Drosophila melanogaster: one gene and its partner. The protein of the gene in region 1 purifies or fractionates together with the protein of each later gene. This does not show direct contact. Each region holds a gene or a part of one and is shown on either strand. Other genes may lie near its edges.

Evidence for each region.
Region 2: the proteins of trn (region 1) and Ten-m purify together in Drosophila melanogaster (affinity purification with western blotting; one study listed by BioGRID). This does not show direct contact.

Annotation. Positions count from the first base shown.
Region 1 is NT_037436.4:13,112,549-13,118,766, forward strand, and holds trn (tartan), read left to right. Parts: upstream 1-1,722; 5' UTR 1,723-2,198; intron 2,199-2,640; 5' UTR 2,641-2,749; coding exon 2,750-4,963; coding exon of another isoform or gene 4,964-5,005; 3' UTR 5,006-5,529; downstream 5,530-6,218.
Region 2 is NT_037436.4:22,404,561-22,409,776, reverse strand, and holds the start of Ten-m (tenascin major), read left to right. Parts: upstream 1-1,913; 5' UTR 1,914-2,584; coding exon 2,585-2,885; intron 2,886-5,216. UniProt on the Drosophila melanogaster protein: Involved in neural development, regulating the establishment of proper connectivity within the nervous system. Acts as a homophilic and heterophilic synaptic cell adhesion molecule that drives synapse assembly.

The DNA of each region.
Region 1 (6,218 bases):
AGAGCACTTTGGCAGTTTACAAGCCAAAGATACTTTTCTTACAAGCCGCTGTTATGGCAATTTGTTTGCATTTCCTGCATTTGTATTCAAGTTTATTATTATACTTCGCCAAAGCCTTTCTCTAAGAAGTCAGCAAAACTGTTTAATTTCTTGAAACAGATCTTTAAAGGCCTGCAATTTTATGAATGTTTCATCAAAGAGCAAATGTAAGGTTTTAGTATGAGAACCAATAGTTGGTTTATTATTCAAAATAGGTTGTGTACCCCATTTAATAATGTAGAAATTGAACCAACAATTTAATTTAGATTTCAGTTCAGCAAAAGAGTAGAAACGAAAAAAATGTTTGCCAACAAAGTTAGGCAAATCAAATTTTTTTACTTTAAATAAATTGTAAAGACGAGTTTTGAAATACATGTTTAAAGGCTAAATTTATCTCTCTTGGCAACGAAAATTTTCCAAAACTACTTCTGTCATAAATTATGTATATGTATTTATTTTCTCTCAAAGGCAACAAATCAAATTCATAAAATCCTATGGTCAAGCAACTATTAACAGTTGCCTTGGCTTTCAATACGCAAAGATGCCTCAAATTTGGGTAATATGGTATAAATTTAACAAGTTTACTTATTGGTTAGTTTATGAAAGATACAGAAAAGCAGTCGAAAAAGATTTGCATCTCGGTACGATAAATAAATTTTGTGTGCGAAATTCTCGGAGACGGAAATATGCCAGTTATGTCGGTGGGGCAGGGGGGCTTGGCTGTGGAAAATGTGGAGGAAAACCGCATGCCGTAAGGCCCGGAAAATGTGCCCCACCCCGGTCCCCTCTGATCCAGCAACATATGTTGGCACAAAGTTATGGCCATTTAAAGTTGATTTTCTTGTTGTCACAGTTGTTTTTTTCCCGTTCTTTTTTTTGTGATTTTGCCGAGTTGTAAATAGTTGTTTGCTCTGCATGCCAAGAATGAGAAATGCATCTCAAATGTATCAGATGACACAATATTTTTTGAGAAATACTCGAGTGCAACACTTTCGTGTCCTCGAGATACAAACTCGCAGATACAAAAATATCAATTTCAAGTGCGTCACATTTGGACTGTAAACCGCACTAAAAGGCTCCACTTAGGCCAGGACATGTCTGCGGCCCATAAATATCCATCTAGCTCCTATTCTGCGTAGGACTATGTACTTTTTATGGGGTCTTAATTATGCCACAGCACTTGGGCTGTTTTAGTTTTCTCTTCAGTTTTGTTTTTTTTTTACTTTTTTCGTTGACTATTTCAGTTCTAGTTTTAGGTTTTATGGGCGACAGCATTTCGTCGAGGACGTGCGGCTCGTTCAACGTGTGAGTTGCAATTGTCGGAGAGCGAGCCTGGATATATGGGGCACGTATAGCCAGATAAATGAGTGGAAACTTCGAGTGAAACTCGCCACACTGAGTTCTCCATCGAGAGAGACAACTAGAGATACATTTGTATCCGACACTCACAACCAGTTCCGACTACCTGCTGGCGGGTTTATCTGAGAGAACTCGCCTTCGCAAGGCCGTCTCGCCTCAGCCACGCCGCTCTTTTTACCCATGTCCGATGCAGCTGCCAGCCACCACCACCACCACCACCATCTCATACCGCTCAAACGGCTCTGTTACCGCTCTGTACCGCTCAACCACCCCGGCAAAAGTGGCCAGCCGAGGTATCGTTTGTGCAGCAGGCACTTCGTAAAATCAGTGTAGTTCGTTGCCTCGTCGTGAGCGGTTGTCTGCCAGCTATAGAGACCCAATTGCGACCAAGTTCCTCTCTCTTACCAGAGTTGGTAACACGAAATACGTAAATTCAAACGGAAACCCGTCGAACGCCTAACAACAACTTGAAGCGTGCAGTCAAAGCGAACCATTGGATTATCGCGCACGTTTCACAAACAATCAGCAAACAAAAAAAAAAAAAACGAAACAAGCAATACAACAAACCAAAATTTTAATTTTGAACAACACACATGTTTTAGTTGAGCAAATGTGACAAAACAAAAAATTGGCTATTCAAAATATTTTTCCAAAAGTGAAACAGTGAAAACGCAAACACATCACAAAATACAAACAAAAACCGAAACACTGCATTTTGCATTTTATGTTCTGTTCACCAACGATTTAATCTGCTGAAAACTAAAAATTGTTGCCAAGCAATCATCAAAGAAAAACATTAGGTAAGTTTCACTTGTGGCATACAATGTGCATTTTATAAAAGTGCTGAAAAAGTGGAATATTGTGGAAATTAGAATACCGGAAGAAAAGTTTCAACAAAATAAAGTTAGGCTGCCAGAAAATATAAAATACGAAAAATATAATTGGAACATTTTAATTTTGTTCAGTTAAATTACTGACTTTAAATATTTATTGAGTTTGAAATTTCTAAAATGAGAATTTATTAGGACCGAAACATTAGCAACTTAATATAGATTTTTCCAACACCAAATCTAAAAATATATCCAATATGAAATACTTGTGAAAACATAAAAATGTTTGCTTCAAGAACCCTGTAAATTTTAATCAATAGAAATAGTTCCACGAAAATAGGCTAATTAACCGAACTCACAGAAAAGACAGAAACTAATTTTGAAAATTTTTCCCTCGTTTGTCTACCCGCAGCACTATGGAAAACTGAAAAAATCAACAGAAACTCTGAAAGAATTGAAACAGCAGCACAGAGCGAAGCAAACCGAAAGACAGAAATCAAAAGAGAATCAGAGATCCCAAGATGCAGCGAAACATGATGATCGCCTTCGTGGGCATCTGGTGCATTTTGGCCAGCATTGGTGTGGAGCCTGCGGCGGGCTTGGCCAATTGCCCGCCCGGCTGTCAGTGCGATGATAATACCCTGGTGGTACAATGTGGCGAGGGCCAGCTGGACGTGCTGCCCATTGCTCTGAATCCATCCATCCAGCGACTGGTGATTAAGAGCAACAAGATCAAGACCATCGACTCGTCCATCCAGTTCTACGCGGAGCTGACCTTCCTCGATCTGTCCTCGAATCACCTGATGACCATTCCGCAGCGCACCTTCGCCTATCAGAAGAAGCTGCAGGAGGTGCATCTGAATCACAACAAGATTGGGCAGATCAGCAATAAGACCTTCATTGGTCTGTCGGCAGTTACTGTTCTGAATCTGCGTGGTAACCAAATCTCGGAACTTCACCAGGGCACCTTTACTCCTCTCCTGAAGATCGAGGAGCTGAATCTGGGCGAGAATCGCATCGGCTATCTGGATCCCAAGGCTTTCGATGGACTCTCCCAGTTGCGCATCCTTTATCTGGATGATAATGCCTTGACCACCGTTCCCGATCCCGTGATCTTCCAAGCCATGCCCAGTCTGGCTGAGCTGTTCCTTGGAATGAACACCCTGCAGAGCATTCAGGCTGATGCCTTCCAGGACCTGAAAGGACTTACTCGCCTGGAACTCAAGGGTGCCAGTCTACGCAACATCTCCCACGACAGCTTCCTCGGCTTGCAGGAGTTGCGCATTCTTGATCTTTCCGATAATCGTCTGGATCGCATTCCCTCCGTGGGTCTCAGCAAGCTGGTTCGTCTGGAGCAGCTGTCCCTGGGTCAAAACGATTTCGAGGTGATCAGCGAAGGCGCATTCATGGGCCTGAAGCAACTTAAACGCCTGGAGGTGAATGGAGCTCTTAGGCTGAAGCGTGTGATGACCGGAGCCTTCAGCGACAATGGTAACCTGGAGTATCTGAATCTATCGTCCAACAAAATGCTTTTGGAGGTTCAAGAAGGTGCCCTCAGTGGGCTGTCCCAATTGAAGCATGTTGTTCTCAAGGCCAATGCGCTGACTTCCTTGGCAGAAGGTCTGTTCCCGTGGAAGGATCTTCAGACTCTGGACCTTTCCGAAAATCCCTTGTCCTGCGACTGCCGTGTGATGTGGCTGCACAATCTGCTGGTGGCCAAGAATGCCAGTCAGGATGATGTCTCCGAACTGCTGTGTGAGTTCCCCGAACGTCTGCGCGGTGAATCCTTGCGCCATTTGAATCCTGCTATGATGGGATGCACACATGCCGATCCTCGCAAGCAGGCCTTGATTGGAGCTCTCCTGGTGGGATCTGCTGCCACGATTACCGCCTTGGCTTTGGTTCTGTACCGCTGCCGTCATAAGATCCGCGAAACCATCAAGGGCGGTCTGTGGGGTAACTCGGCTCTGGGCCGTAAGGAACGGGAATACCAGAAGACCTTCTGCGACGAGGACTACATGTCGCGCCATCAGCATCATCCCTGCTCCCTGGGCATCCACTCCACGTTCCCCAACACCTATACCGCACCTCATCATCCCGGAGCTACCCATCACTATGGAATGTGCCCGATGCCTGTCAATGACCTGGGCGCCATCGATCCCCAGCAGAAGTTCCAACAGTTGGTAGTGCCCACCGCCACAATGATCAGTGAGAAGAAGCTGAATAACAACAAGGCCCTGGTTTCACAGGGAGCCATCGACGACAGTGCCTCATTTGTGCTGCACATGAAGTCGGCCACCATGGGTCGGGATGTGCATCAGCAGAATCCCCAGCTGAACCACTATACCAAGCCGCAGTTCCTCTCGGCCACGGCTACAGTTGGTGATTCCTGCTACTCATACGCGGATGTGCCCATGGTGCATGGCGCCCCGTTGGGTGGACCGAATCAGCCGCAACTGCGACTGACCCAAGAGCACTTCAAGCAGCGTGAGCTATACGATCAGGAGATGGGCAGCGAGATCCTGGACCACAACTACATCTACAGCAATACCCACTACTCGATGCCGTTGGAGCAACTGGGTCGCAGCAAGACGCCCACGCCGCCACCGATGCCACCAGCTTTGCCCCTGCGGAATGGACTGTGTGCCACCACAGGACGCAGATCCTTCCAGCAGAAGTCCGCCTCTCAGAAGCAGCAGCAGAACAACAACACCCTGCGTCAGTTCACGCACTGATCCTCGACCTATCGACGCAGGCAGCTGAGCATCTATGCTTAGTAGTCCGCTGCCCAACACTGTGATGCCAAAACCCCCAAGAAGCCCACTAAAACCACTCACTCCCCTCCAGACACAATTAGCGTGTAGTTAGGCGTAAGGAAAACATTGTAGTAGCTGTAATCGAAATACAACCTAGGCATTAAGTCAGAGAAAATCTTGCCTTGTACATACTTAACTTTAAAGCACTCTTTCGAACCTATAGAACACTGAAGGATCTCCAATTCTATCAGCACTTTGCCAACACTACTGTTTTCCTCGTCCCCCTCCGAACATAAGTTAATCGTAGTCTTTAAGATGAATTGTAAATGATATACGAGTTTAGATAAAGACAACAAGCACTGAGAGTCAACGTAAGCTTAATTTTAACTTATTTAATTTATTGTTAAATGCAAAATCGTATCAGATGCAAACAACTATTTATGTATTAGTTAGAACAAGAAATTTATGCAAATTTAAGCGACAAAACAAAATATCAAACGAAAACAGAAAATATACGCAATGAAAACAAAACTCATTTGAAAACTAAAAAATACAACTGTGTGTGTTCATTCTGCTCTTAATTTAGCAGATTTTCCTTTCAGCCAGCATACTGCCGTGGAAATTTGCCTTTAATTATACATTTTCCCTGTGCACCGGCAACTTTTCCTCTGTGTCAATTTGTCTCGACATTTTCACTTTTTTTTCCACGAGCTCAAAACTTTTGACTTTCAATTCAATTAAAAGTAAGTTGAGGGCTTGCATACCGTGCTCGGGGGAATAAAAAATGCAGTAAAATTAATATACTATTATTCAATAGTAACAAGCTTGAAAACTTTTGCAGACCCGACTCAAGCAGAGCGTGGCAAGTGGGGAAGAGGTATAATTTTCAATTCAATGTGCATGGAAACACATGTGTAACTACTACCATATACAAATATATATGTATAAGTGTATATATGGGTACAGCCACCCCTTCATTGTCACCTGCAATGCAGCTGCCACCTGGCGGACCAGAAAGTTGCCAACTCACCGTCGAAGTTTGCCCCTGGGAACCCTCAAGAACCCTATTTTTCGTTGGTTTTCTCTTTTCGCTCAATTTCAAGCCAAATCGAAACCTATTTAGACAATTACGAAAATAGAAATCATTTCAGAACTTCCAGCGAGCAATGTACGGTAATAACAATAAATAAATAACAAAGGCAAATAGCGGCCAGAACCAAGCCCCCCAAATGGC
Region 2 (5,216 bases), 9.3 Mb from region 1:
TTTTGAATGTTAACCCAAATGGTTCAACTTCAAAAAACTGCAAAGGTTTAATCCATTGCCCCTTAATTAAATATATGCACAACAAGCCAAGAATGTTTGTTCCTGTACGAAGACTCAGATCGAAACCTACGACAACTAGCCAAATCAGAAGTCACATTCCCCCTCGGAATCCACATCCTCCTGATAATATTCAATGTGTCAAGTGCAGGCGAGCAACGCTTCTCTCCCTTTCTTGAATGATGCTCAAACATTTTTGCATACAACAGGAAATTGATTTTTCATCGACAGCAAAGAAAATCGGGAAAGCAAGACTCCATATCCTATGCAAATACTTTCAGACTACAAAAAAATTTGCGTCACGCGGCGTTGCCACATTGCGAGACTCGGAAAAGAAATGACAATTTCTCCGGCATCTCTTCTTCTTCCCCGCCGTATCCTTCTCGTGCTGGGAAAGCTGTCAAAAAAGCTTCAGCAACAACTTCCGCTACATGGCAGAGAATTGCCTGCACGACGGGCTAGGGGGCGGTCGGTGGAGGCGGCAGGATGAGACCTGCGTTCAAAAGTTAAGCCATTAGCGAAATGTCCTTTACTTTGCTTATAACGCAATTTTCTGCTTCTTTTCTCGGCCATGGCCCCCTCATCACCTACCCACCCCACGCTGGCCACCATTGTTTGTTTCGGACACTTTTTGGCCAGGTCCGCTCGGTTCTGGCTTGGGTGCTGAATGACAACTTCACTTGTCAGCGATTTGAAACTTTTTCGCCTCCCCTCGCCGCCACTGACTAACTTTTCTAGCGCTAATGAAGTCTGAGGATATTTTTTGGCTGCGTGAAAATGCTCCACAGAATCTGACAGCATAATTAGTAAATGAAAAACTGTTTTGTGTAATTCCCAGGCCACAGGAGGTTCAGATACCTTGAAATACAAATTCCATTGTTTTTAAAAATGTAGTTTTTAATATTTTTGTGTAACCTGCAATTTATTCAATGCAAGCTGAAAGTTAAAAGTTTTCGGAGGTTTTGGAAAACCTAGATATTTTAGGGCAATATATAAAGAGAATATATAATATATATATAATAATAAATAATATATATTATATAATATATAATATATATAATAAAGAATAAACTAAGCTATCTTTTAAAGTTTGTACCTAATAACTTAAATACCTCCACATTTACATTGATATTTTATGGTATATGGTATATGGTATACGTATACGCACTTTTATGTAAACCGGTTAACAGTTTTGTAATAAAATTAACAGTGTCGGTGTTAGCCGCCGGTGAAGCTGTTATTACAGCGCTGTTGGCCGCCTCAGATAATCTTAACGAAACTGGCGTGCAGCACGATAGATTCGAATCCGCTGTACATCCATTTCCCCTTAGCCAAACGAAACGCACTTTTTAACCTTCAAACCAGAGATTCGATGAGTGCTCTCATTTGAGTGCTGCATACTCTTCTGGTTATAAAAAGGCTAAACATACCATTGAGAACAAATATTGATGGTAACTTAACAGAAGCACAAGAGTATTAAAAGTATATTATTATATTTCCTTGCATATCTTTTTCTATAACGCTGTCATAGACTGGAAATCTATATGATTCGGAGTGATTCTTTTGCAATTAAATTAACCTAAACTACATAAGTAGCACCTATTATTCTAGCAAAATAGCTATATTTCCAGCTAAGGCCAGACTATCAGCAAATTAGCTAAATGGACAACGCTGGTGCGCGACCGCTCTCTCTCTCACAAATCATGCGCAGTATCAGAATAAATGAGAGAGCGACGCATTTTAACTGAAAAAGAGAGAATATGAAGCATATTGTTTTTCTCTCATATTTGCAGCGACTTGCGCTCTCTAGCTCTCTCTCTCTCTCCCACAGACTCGGTTCGTCGTTCGTTTTGAGCTCATTCGTCTTTTGAAATTCGCCTCGCACGGTCGGAATTGTCGTCGCGGAAAATGTGGATATACGAAAAGTAGCGAAAACAGCGCGTTGCTTCAGTCGAAAAATATAGAAAATCGTCGGGAATCAGGCAGCGAATGATACCTGCGTCTAACGAATTCTGACATAGTTTTACGATCGTCGCGCAAACAAACACACCGCGTCAATTCAAAAACACCGTTTTTCCCGTCGCGTTCCTGTGCTCCCCATCGTGTGTGTCCCGTGTTTTCAGTGTACGACTACTGAAAAGGCCCAAGAAATATTATTGCGGCCTCGGCGGCAGATTGTGATTGAGCTGGGACCAGCAGCCCGCCCGCAGATTAACCGTCTGGAAATGGCCCAGTAGAAATGTTTTTGAGTGCAGTGCGTCCAGTGCCATCCGCAGCCGCATCCGCATCAGCAAGTGCATGAATAATCGCGAGTAGCCAAACGCATACCAAGTCTCTTCTTCCTGCTCCCGTGCGGAGTCCTCCTCCTCTTCTTCTTCTCCTGTCCGGCTGTCTGGCCAAAAGCCCCCAAGCCGCCAAGATTAAGTTCTCAAAGCAGCACGCCCATCACGCGTACCGCCACACGGACAACATCTACGACGGCGGCACGGACACGGACGACGACGAATGTCCGCTGGAGGCGACCGCCATGAATCCCTACGAGTATGAGTCGACTCTAGACTGCCGCGACGTGGGCGGCGGCCCCACTCCGGCTCACGCCCACCCACACGCCCAAGGACGTACGCTCCCCATGAGCGGCCACGGGCGGCCGACGACGGACCTCGGTCCGGTCCACGGCAGCCAGACGCTCCAGCACCAAAACCAACAGAACCTGCAGGCCGCCCAAGCCGCCGCCCAGTCGTCCCACTACGACTACGAGTACCAGCACTTGGCCCACCGTCCGCCGGACACGGCCAACAACACAGCGCAGCGGACACACGGAAGACAAGGTGAGTGAGTATGCCGACCCCAGTGGGCAGTGTGGTCAGTGGAATCAAACCGAAAGCTACAACTCCGGAATTTAGTGGCCCAAATAGAGCGTCTGGAAGTGATTTAAAAAAGTTTAGGATGTGCGGAAATACTTTACAATGCATAAATTGGATTAAATGAATTTGTAACTTAAATTATGTTTGGAAATCAGTGAAAAATATAAAAGCGTTTCTGATAAGAGTACCATGCTGCTTAAACATACTGAGATCCGTTTTCCATCGCTTTCGTATACATCACCGAATTCTTTGACAGACGTGCCTAAATCAAATGAGCTAATTGATATCAATATTTTAAGAAAATGGAGAACATTTGGTTATTAGCTACGTACGTTGAGAGAGGATAGACTGGTTCTAAAACCATTCATTGCTACTTGGCATTTGTGTATTTTTAGTATTAGTCAAAAAGTTAAAAGCAAATTATGTATGTGCAAAAGGATTCCAATGTTTCTCAAACGCAATTCAAGTGAGCTACCGTGTCATCTGCTAGTTACAGAAATTATTCCTTTTTTCGGTGACAAAATCGTGCGGGTTGCGAATTCCAGCAAGTTGCGACAAGTTTGAACAAATTACGCCCCTTATCGGCGAATGCGGCCAAACATTTTGCCTAAATTAAACAAATTAAGGCGGCAGTCCCAATGGGAGTGGGATTTGGACTTCGCCTGACATTGAGCCCGCTCTTGTTTCGCATTTCATAATTTCCCTTTTTCCGACTGAGCGCGTTTTTTCACGATTTGTCTGATTAATAAAGCGAGAGCCACAATAGCCAGCGCACAAAGCGCAGTTGAAAAGGATACTCTCTGTCAGCCGACAGGAATTAGGGGGAATCCCAGACGATGTCCCCGCTCTGTGAAAAAATGCCTGCGGCTGGAAAATGCTCGAGACTTCTGAGAGGAGTTGGGTTACAGTAGCCTGCCTGATTGTACACTGACAGAAATCAGGGCACTAAGTTATGTTGATATAGATTTTGAATGAAAATCGTAGTTACTTGGATACCCTCTTAATATGAGAACAGAATTTTAGATTCTTTACTTTTAACTATTGTTTTGATGACAATAGTTCACGTATTTAACTCTAGATTATGTTAGTTCGCTGCTATTATCGATTTCAGCCAGCCTCCTCGTAGCGTCTTCATGGCCACTCCCAGACCTATCCAATATTTTCGATCCCTGGACCTCGACCACGAGCAACCTAAACACAAATACATGCTCCGACATGCTTCAGTTTTATTATTTCCGACTCTGCTTCTTGGCATTTGAACTTACACATAATGCGGACTTACATAACTTTATTTCTGGCATTTCCCTTTTGAGCTCCGGTGCCCATTTTCCGCTCCTCATCTTCTTCATCCTCATCGAAGCCATCCCACCGCAGCCGCGCTTGCTCTTCTCCTGCCTTTCAGCGTTTTTGTGGTGTTATAAAAACAATTGCCAAACAATTGGAGCTTTGAAACGAAATAAAAATCAAATGGAAATCGAACCTGGAGCACACGAACGTGTGGGTGTTTGGGTTGGGCTACCTGGCAGCGGCGAAAGAATTGTAAATTTACAGCAACAAATAAATTTCGTAACTGGCAAACAATAAATTCCTGAGACCCGAAGACTTTTGCAGAATTTCTTTTCAGCTTTGGCGCAAGAAATGAAATTGAATAAAGTGGGCCAGGGGGGTGCGATTGGGGCGGGGCGGAGCTCGTAAATTTTCAACACTTCACCAGGCAGCAGCTTTTCCCGCCTTCCTGCTCCCCAGTGCCTGTCATAAAATTGCCAAAAAGCCAAAACAGGAAAGACGGAGAAGCAGCGGAAAATTCTTTGCCTCCCCCACTTTGAAGCTGTGTTGATGTGTGAAAATCCGCTCGAAGCTGAAGCACCGAAATTTCAATGTCTCAATGCTTTATTTGTCGGCCTGCCAATTAGCCAAATTAGGTCGAAAAAATCGGCCACTTTGCATTATTAAAAGCCAACCGCAGCCAGGTTCGAGTCCAACTCCAGATGGCCTCCAAATCCAATCACAAGCCCCGCCGTCATAATGCACAAGTTGATGGCAAAAAAGACGAGAAACACGCAACTAATTTCGAAAATGGAAGCTCCGCAAGGTCACCCCTGAATCGGAATCCAAATCGCATTCGTACTCCGATTCAGATTGGGAATCAGAAGCACAGTCATTTCGATTTTCTCACACTGAGTTTTCCAGCAGCAGAACAGAACGGAAAACGGAATGGATTAATATTTGTTTATGCCGCGCCCGATTAGTTTATGGCCCACTCTAATGGGGCCACTTTGTTTATTTTTGTCTTGG